Linked DNA regions of Saccharomyces cerevisiae S288C. Changing the gene in region 3 together with the main gene of any one other region gives a genetic interaction. Each region holds a gene or a part of one and is shown on either strand. Other genes may lie near its edges.

What was found. A genetic interaction does not mean that the proteins touch.
Region 1: mutations in MXR1 (region 3) and YKL069W impair growth when combined (synthetic growth defect), as found in Saccharomyces cerevisiae (one study listed by BioGRID).
Region 2: of MXR1 (region 3) and HMX1, extra expression of one rescues a mutant of the other (dosage rescue), as found in Saccharomyces cerevisiae (one study listed by BioGRID).

Annotation. Positions count from the first base shown.
Region 1 is NC_001143.9:305,280-308,327, reverse strand, and holds YKL069W (L-methionine (R)-S-oxide reductase), read right to left. Parts: upstream 1,044-3,048; coding exon 501-1,043; downstream 1-500. Other genes in the region: YKL070W (uncharacterized protein), read right to left, coding at 1,608-2,117; OSI1 (Osi1p), read right to left, coding at 2,444-3,048. UniProt on the Saccharomyces cerevisiae protein: Catalyzes the reversible oxidation-reduction of the R-enantiomer of free methionine sulfoxide to methionine. Does not act on S-enantiomer of free methionine sulfoxide or R-enantiomer of dabsylated methionine sulfoxide.
Region 2 is NC_001144.5:552,224-555,289, forward strand, and holds HMX1 (Hmx1p), read right to left. Parts: upstream 1,455-3,066; coding exon 501-1,454; downstream 1-500. Other genes in the region: mitochondrial 37S ribosomal protein mS38 QRI5, read left to right, coding at 47-382; ENT2 (epsin), read left to right, coding at 2,355-3,066. UniProt on the Saccharomyces cerevisiae protein: Plays an important role in the degradation of heme under conditions of iron deprivation.
Region 3 is NC_001137.3:233,234-236,023, forward strand, and holds MXR1 (peptide-methionine-S-sulfoxide reductase), read left to right. Parts: upstream 1-1,703; coding exon 1,704-2,258; downstream 2,259-2,790. Other genes in the region: YEN1 (crossover junction endodeoxyribonuclease), read left to right, coding at 1-1,507; SAH1 (adenosylhomocysteinase), read right to left, coding at 2,537-2,790. UniProt on the Saccharomyces cerevisiae protein: Has an important function as a repair enzyme for proteins that have been inactivated by oxidation. Catalyzes the reversible oxidation-reduction of methionine sulfoxide in proteins to methionine.

The DNA.
Region 1 (3,048 bases), on a different chromosome or scaffold from region 3:
TTCTTCTTTACGGCAAAGTAAGCATGCCTTTAGCGAGACTGGGGTGAGCTGAAGAAGAACTTGCTGCACTATAGATATGACTTTAGATGTCCGTTATTCAACAATTAAGTGGTTTCGTGGTCTAGTCGGTTATGGCATCTGCTTAACACGCAGAACGTCCCCAGTTCGATCCTGGGCGAAATCAATTTTTTTTTCCGTCAGATATCTCCGTCATTTTCGTTGACGTTTTTTTCTTACCAAGCAAAGATATTTTTAATAAATGCTGAATATCCTTTGTTTGAGGGTAAACATGCCATAAATTTGCAATAAGGGTTACAAATAAAGATTGAGAGCTGTCAATTTGGCGAACAGGGAATGTTTTCTTCACCAATGATCTCCTGAAGCCCCTCAATCTTTCTTGATGTTTATCTCTATTCGTGCCCGTCCGACAATATATTTGACAAGAGAGCTACATGGGAATATTGGTTATGTGCGTAAATACTTGTTCGTTCTCAAAACTCTTATTTAAAGACACATGATTTATTAATTAATTTAGCAAGTTTTTCTAGGAATTCTTTGTCTACGTGGTCGAATCCTTCGTAATCCAAACAATCTATGTCTATGACGCCCAATGTCTTACCATCATTGGATATGATTGGAACAACAATTTCGCTCTTGGTTTCACCGTCGCACGCAATATGACCGGGATACTTGTTGACATCTGGAACAATCTGCGTTTCCTTTGTAGAGGCTGCAGTTCCGCAAACACCTTTACCGAATTGAATCATTTGGCAAGCGACCTTTCCTTGAAATGGGCCCAATATCAGTGTGTTTTCTTCGCTAGCTTGAGTAACGTAAAATCCAGCCCAATTGATATCAACAGCTAATGACTTGTACGCATGCCAGATCAATGACGAAGCGTTTGACAAATTACAAACCCAATTGACTTGTCCATCTGATAGCCCCTCGTATGAAAGCAGAAGCTGTTCTAGAATTTCTTCCTTATTCAGATTTGAAGAATAGTTAACATGATCGGCATGATGAAACCCGGTTGATGAGCCCATATCTGTTTGTTTTTTTTTGTTTTTTTTTCTAATTTACGGATTTGTTTTATCAGCAAACGCCTTTGTTTGCTTACATTTGGGAAAATCGTCATCATATAAACATGAAGAAACCGATGATATTAGCGTTCGTTAAAAAGGATAATACTTCGTTGTAAACTCAACTGTAAATATCTTTCTTCATTTCCTCCAAACATGGTTTTCTAACTGCAGGGAATAGGTAAACCTTTGCGTTTGTGTTCTTTCTGCATCACGGTGGGCCTTGCCCTCTGTTAAGTCAATATTAAAAGATAAGATAAGAAAAGAATGAAAACGAATAAATAATTATTGATATTTAATGCGCAGAGAAAATACAAAACTTATAAGCTACCTGGATAGTTATCTTTTACAAGGCGAGCCATTTCTTGGCCTCTTTCTCCACCAAATTCTTTGAATTTTCAACATATGCCTTCAACATTAATCTGTGATTTATTTTGGTCGAATTTGAACTTTGATTGAATATGGGTAATACTGATTTCAAGCCCGACAATGTTTTGAAGCATAGCATTGATATAATAATCTGGGGCATCAGAAACGCTCCACTTTACTTCGTACATTTTCCCCCTCAGGTCTTTTCTCTTCTTCTTGGTCAGTCAAAGTTGATAACATATTAATAAGCCAGTCTTTATCGTCGCGGATAATCCTTGGTGTACCGTAAACGTGCACAGCGGCAAAATCCCATGTTGGTACGAACTTATGGGTCTTTTTCTTCATTGGGAACCACGCCGGAGAAATGTATGAATCGACGCTCTGAAATACCACTAAGCATTTTTGAACTCTTTCCAGCATTTCCACATGTTTATTCTTCCGTGCTAAATGTGCAATAAGTTTATGCTCTCCATTATCGAACTCCACGAATACAAATGGAATATGTGATGCGCACATACCAAAATCGGGGTCATCTTTATTGGAAGAAGTTCTCCATCCGAAGAAACCTTGCCTGCTAGCCTTAGAGGAGAATAGTGTTCCTAGCGGGGGTTTTTTTGATAATTTGTACCTTGAGAGTTCCATGGACTCAAAATGTTTAGGAATGTACATTATGAAATAGATTCTTGGATTCTTCTCAGACTGGCAATTTATGTCTATAATATTAAGGGATGGTTTTCGGCGAATATGCAGAATCTTCGGTTCTAGGACCAGTTATATACCATCCTAATTAAAATCAGAGGACATAATAGAGATAGTTTCAAATCTGGTTAAGCGTTAAAAGATCAGCATACAAAGTGATGCCACAAAATACCTTCTTAAAGGGGCGTGAGGCAAAAGCAAAGTCACATCATATAGCACCTACCAATAAAAAAGTGTATTACACAAAGGTATATTCCGTATCTGAGTTGTATATAAGTAGCCAAATTTGCACTTATCTAAAAGACGCCTTCGCTGCCGTCATAGTTGAAGAACTTTCCATTATCTTCTGGTAAAATTTTTCGGAAGACATCAATTAGCGCAGAGGCACTTTCTTCTGGTGTGATAATATTTACGCCGCTGATGTCTATATTCTTCTCTTTAAAATGATCAAGGCCATATTGGCCCATATCAGTAGATACCATACCTGGGTGAAAAGCAACGACAGTAAAACCCTCCGGTTTCAATTCAAAACTGAGCGTCTTTACCGCATAATTCAAGGCAGCTTTCGATTGACCATAAGCGGAAACAGAAAGTGGTACAAACGCATTGATAGATCCTGCAACACTAGAGATAAAGAATATCTTCCTCGTCTTTTTCAAAAGAAGCAGTGGATAAACTTTTTGAAGGGCTAGTATCGGACCCAGAGCGTTTGTGCTATAATGGTTGAGCCAGACTGATTTGGGAGTTTCCAGGACCTTGTAATAAGAATCAGATACTGCAGAACATGCGATAAAAATATCAATACCCAAGAAGAATGGCGTTTTCTTGATCTCGTCCGCAATATTGCCAATACTTTCGTCCTTTGTAAGGTCAAGTTGGACAATATGGATATTCTTCCTGA
Region 2 (3,066 bases), on a different chromosome or scaffold from region 3:
GAGTTCCAGCCAAGACGAGCACACACGACACCAGAACGAGATAAACATGCTAGGAAGGGCATTGCGACCTGGGTGGCTGGGCATTACTAGGACGGTGGTTAAGAAACCAAGTTGCGGGTCCTACTTTAACAGAACCTTTCAAACAGCAATTAACACTACAATGCCTCCCATGCAAGAGGGCATGCTGAGTACAATGATGATGATGACGGCTACGGCAACAAGGATCACTGGCACAGTCAGTGAGCCATTAAACGGTTCAAATATAGTGATGCAACTCGATTCAGTGATGAGAAAGAGGAAAAAAAAGATGAAGAAACACAAACTGCGGAAAAGAAGAAAGAGGGAGAAGGCAGAAAGAAGAAAGCTATCTCAGGGTAGATAATAGGGCTGTAAAAACCTCTCACATGTTTTTCTCTGCTGTTTTTCCTTCCCTATTCTTCATATTTTGATATTATTTCATGTATATATTATGTTTGTATTTAGACTTTTTTTTTTATACGTTATACTATGCTAAGAAAACTCTTTACCAAGAAGTAAAGAACCCAGATCGCGATAATAGAAAGCACCAGCAGCATGACCGTGTGGAGTGCTCTTCTAGTAGCAGAATCCTTGTTGAACATCCATTCTTCGTACAAGTACGTAATACACTTGAAGCTGAACTTGCCCATTAACTCGCGACGATTCAACTCTCCAATTTCTGCAACGATGTTGAAGTTCCAATCAAAAATGCCTTCTGCGACGCTAATGATCTGCAACTTTTGTGCTTCGGTCAATTCCGTCCTGGTGGCCAGCTCATAGTTCTTCTTGTATTCCCATTTCAAGCGTGTTTCTTCAGTGGGACCCAGATCGCTGAAGGTGAAGAAGTTTGTGCCCTTTTTGACCAGTTCCTTCTGTGATAGCTTCTCGAAGTTGGGGAAGAGCCCCAGTCTTCTGTACAAATTCGATCGTATTAGCTTGCCGCCGGCGAAAAGCGCCAAGTACAGAACGTGACAGTAAGAAAGAATGGTGCATGGCTCCTTGTGTATGTTTTCGTGGATGTTATTGATAAACTGCTGTAGTAGCGGTGGCTTCTGGAACGTAGCCAGGAATTCGTTTAATGATTCTGTGCTTTTAAACGTGTTTGAGTATAGCAGCTTCAGGTCCTTATAGATCTGCGTAGATCTTCTAAAATCTTCGAGCCAAAACTGCTTCAGAATGGTCGAAGTTTGCAGCTCCTCCTCCGTTACGGGGTCATTCAGTAGGCGATCTATCTCTTGCTCGATGGCATCGAACACATAATAGTACGCCAGAATACCCTGTCTGTATATAAAGCCATGTCTCATGGCGATGGCCATCTTTATGCCCATGAAGGTATTGATTTTATTGTGGGCATCTCTGGTTTGAAAGTTGATTCTGTTTGCTAGCGCCCCCACGTCAGTGGGTGAGGGTATGATTGTATTGCTACTGTCCTCCATTTTTGCGGTTATTTTATGTGTGTGTGTGTATATATGCTGTGTTATATTGTGCACTGTTAAATAGCTCCTCCTTAGACTAAGCAAGAGAGTATGAGGAGGTTGCTCTTATATACAAACACAAGAGGGCGAGAGGGGCACCTGGCCATTGCTCCATCACACCCAACTCAGGTGTAAATCGTCCTACTTATGAAGGTCATTAGCCCATGTTTGAAACCGTGTGTTACATGGCTCAAATTCCACGGTCCGATAACGCCGACCCCGAGCAGGTGCAAATGGCCAGGCGGTATCGCCAATGATCCGTTTATCTAAAGATAGATAGATGGCCGAACGTGGACTGCCTCTATGGGTACAATAACATATGCACATGGCAACGGGTCTTGGTGCTCAATCGACGGGCACATACACCCTGACTTTCCCCATCATACGACGATGCTCTAGTAAACTTGCACCCGCACCTGTTAGATAAACAAGTGCGCCCAAGATCACAATACCGAAGGGGCGATATCACCACTCAGTATTCTACAGTCGAGCATAGCGTAGTCTGGCAGTATCCCGCACGATCCATTGTATTGTTTGTCCAAACCGCATTTTATGTGTAACGATTAATCGTATATACATGGCCTACAAGAAATTACCCTGCGGCGAAGGGTGAAAAAAAAAGTAGTGGAAACTAAAGAAAGAAGAGTTTAGTTACGGACCCTTTCAAGGATTGACACACTCCCAATATTTTGCTACATTATTGACCTTTGTTGAAGGAGGCGTTCGTTTATTTAATTATTTTGTTCTGTTTTGCCTACAACTGCGAATACGCTCACATTCTAGTTTGACCTTCACAAATTCTTATCATCTTCTTTTGTTTATTTTGACACACCCCTATTAAGTGTATTTGTTTTGTAAGTAATGTCTAAGCAGTTTGTTCGTTCTGCAAAGAACATGATGAAGGGCTACTCATCCACACAAGTGCTTGTGAGAGATGCCACGGCGAACGACTCGAGGACTCCATCGATAGACACTCTCGACGATTTGGCACAGAGATCTTACGATTCGGTGGACTTCTTCGAGATTATGGATATGTTAGACAAGAGGCTGAACGATAAGGGCAAATACTGGAGACACGTTGCCAAATCGCTGACCGTTTTGGACTATCTTGTTCGTTTCGGGAGTGAGAACTGTGTGCTATGGTGCAGAGAGAATTTTTACGTAATTAAGACATTAAGGGAATTCAGACACGAAAATGAGTCCGGATTTGACGAGGGACAAATTATCAGAGTAAAGGCTAAAGAACTCGTCTCTTTGTTGAATGATGAAGAAAGGCTACGCGAAGAGAGGTCTATGAATACAAGAAACAGAAGGGCGAACAGAGCTGCTAGGCCAAGGCCAAGAAGACAAAGAACAAGGAGCAACCCACACGATTCTTCTCCCTCTTACCAGGACGATTTGGAAAAGGCCCTAGAGGAGAGCAGAATTACTGCTCAAGAAGATGAACAACGTAGAAGAGAACTGGCCCAGTACGACGATGAAGATCCTGACTTCCAAGCTGCCTTACAACTAAGTAAAGAAGAAGAGGAGTTGAAGCAATTGCAGGAACTACAGAGATTACAGAAGCAACAAC
Region 3 (2,790 bases):
TGTTATAGATCTACCCAAAATTAATAAAGTAGCAGGGAAGAAGTTTGATCGCCTGTCTCTCTTATTTTTCAGCGTGCTATTAGGTGCCGATTACAATCGTGGAGTCAAGGGTTTGGGTAAAAACAAATCTTTGCAGTTGGCTCAATGCGAAGATCCTAACTTTTCCATGGAATTTTATGACATTTTCAAAGATTTCAATTTAGAAGATTTGACATCAGAAAGTCTGAGGAAGTCTCGGTATAGATTGTTTCAAAAAAGATTATATTTATACTGCAAGGATCATTCTGTCGAGCTATTTGGAAGAAATTATCCTGTTTTATTGAATCAAGGTTCATTTGAAGGCTGGCCATCAACTGTCGCAATCATGCACTATTTTCACCCCATTGTCCAACCATATTTTGATGAAGAAGTTCTCAGTGATAAATACATAAATATGGCTGGAAACGGACACTACAGAAACTTAAATTTCAATGAACTGAAATATTTTTTACAAAGTTTGAATTTGCCTCAAATTTCTAGCTTCGACAAGTGGTTTCATGATTCTATGCACGAGATGTTTCTATTAAGAGAATTTTTATCAATTGATGAGTCCGATAATATAGGTAAAGGTAATATGAGGATTACCGAAGAAAAAATTATGAACATAGATGGTGGAAAGTTCCAAATACCATGTTTTAAAATACGGTATACAACATTCTTGCCTAATATACCCATTTCTTCTCAATCTCCTTTGAAGCGCAGTAATTCTCCCAGTAGAAGCAAGAGTCCCACACGACGTCAGATGGATATAATGGAACACCCAAATAGTCTTTGGTTACCCAAATACTTGATACCTCAATCGCATCCATTAGTAATTCAATATTATGAGACACAGCAACTTATACAGAAAGAAAAAGAGAAGAAAGGTAAAAAATCGAATAAGTCTCGGCTACCACAGAAGAATAACTTGGATGAGTTTTTAAGAAAGCATACTTCGCCGATTAAAAGTATCGGAAAGGTAGGCGAGTCGAGAAAGGAAATCCTGGAACCTGTGAGAAAAAGGCTTTTTGTAGATACAGACGAAGATACTAGTCTGGAAGAAATACCGGCTCCCACAAGACTGACCACCGTCGATGAACACAGCGATAATGACGATGATTCGTTGATTTTTGTAGATGAGATTACAAACAGCCAAAGCGTTTTAGATAGTTCACCCGGTAAAAGAATTCGGGATCTTACACAGGACGAACAGGTTGACGTTTGGAAGGACGTAATAGAAATATCACCAATAAAAAAGTCAAGAACTACTAATGCTGAGAAAAATCCGCCTGAGTCTGGTTTAAAATCACGCTCAAGCATCACAATCAATGCTCGCCTTCAAGGTACTAAGATGTTGCCTCCAAACTTGACTGCTCCAAGGTTAGAAAGAGAACACTCCTCTGTCCTTGACCAACTTGTCACAGACGCACAAGATACAGTCGACCGGTTTGTAGCCTGTGACAGTGATAGCAGTAGCACTATTGAATGAGTTAACGGGCACAGCGTCAAAAAATCCGCCACCACAGTTGATCGCGCCGAAAACGAGGGAGTTGCGATGAGTAAAATGAAGGGCATATATAAACAAGAGTAGACAGAGACACATTTTTCAATATCATATATATAGATTTAATTGGAAAGACAGTTATATTCTAACGTCAAAAACTTAACAAGTAAATCAAGTTGCAATGTCGTCGCTTATTTCAAAAACCATTAAGTATGATCCAGCCAAGGATAAATTAATCACATTAGCATGTGGATGTTTTTGGGGTACAGAACATATGTATAGGAAGTATTTGAATGACCGTATAGTGGATTGTAAAGTAGGTTACGCTAATGGAGAAGAGTCTAAAAAGGATAGCCCCTCTAGTGTCTCTTATAAGAGAGTTTGTGGTGGTGACACAGATTTTGCGGAGGTTTTACAAGTATCCTATAATCCCAAAGTGATAACTTTGAGAGAATTAACTGATTTCTTTTTTAGAATCCATGATCCTACTACATCTAATTCACAAGGACCTGATAAAGGTACACAGTATCGCAGTGGATTGTTCGCTCATTCAGATGCTGATTTAAAAGAATTAGCCAAAATAAAGGAAGAATGGCAACCAAAATGGGGTAATAAGATTGCCACAGTTATTGAACCAATCAAGAACTTTTACGATGCTGAAGAATACCACCAGTTATATTTAGATAAGAATCCACAGGGATATGCATGCCCTACTCATTATCTGAGAGAAATGTAGCTTTTTTAGTGTACGTGCCCTTATTTATGAAAAAAAGTCAAGTGCATGAATGAAATATTTACTGTTGAAGAATTTATTATATATATAGGTATACAGGATCTATCTTTTCGATAACGTAACTTAGTATCACATGTATTAGTATTAATACTGTGATAGGATTGTTAGCTGTTGTTTTTATATTTGCAATTTATTTATGATCTTTTTTGATGATCAAACCGTTGAGTTTTTGAACATTAAAAAATAGTGAGAAAGAAGAACTGAAATGGGAATTGAATTGATCAATATCTGTAGTGGTCGGCCTTGAATGGACCTTCTTCTGGAATACCCAAGTATTCAGATTGGACTTTACTCAATTTAGTCAATCTAACACCCAAGTTGCCCAAGTGGAACTTAGCGACAGCTTCATCCAAGATCTTTGGCAAAACGTGGACACCAACTTCGAATGGGCCTGTCTTTTGGAATTCAATGTGCTTTTCTCTGAAAGACTTATCGTTAGACTTGAACAAAGCAATTTGAGCTAAGACTTGGTTAG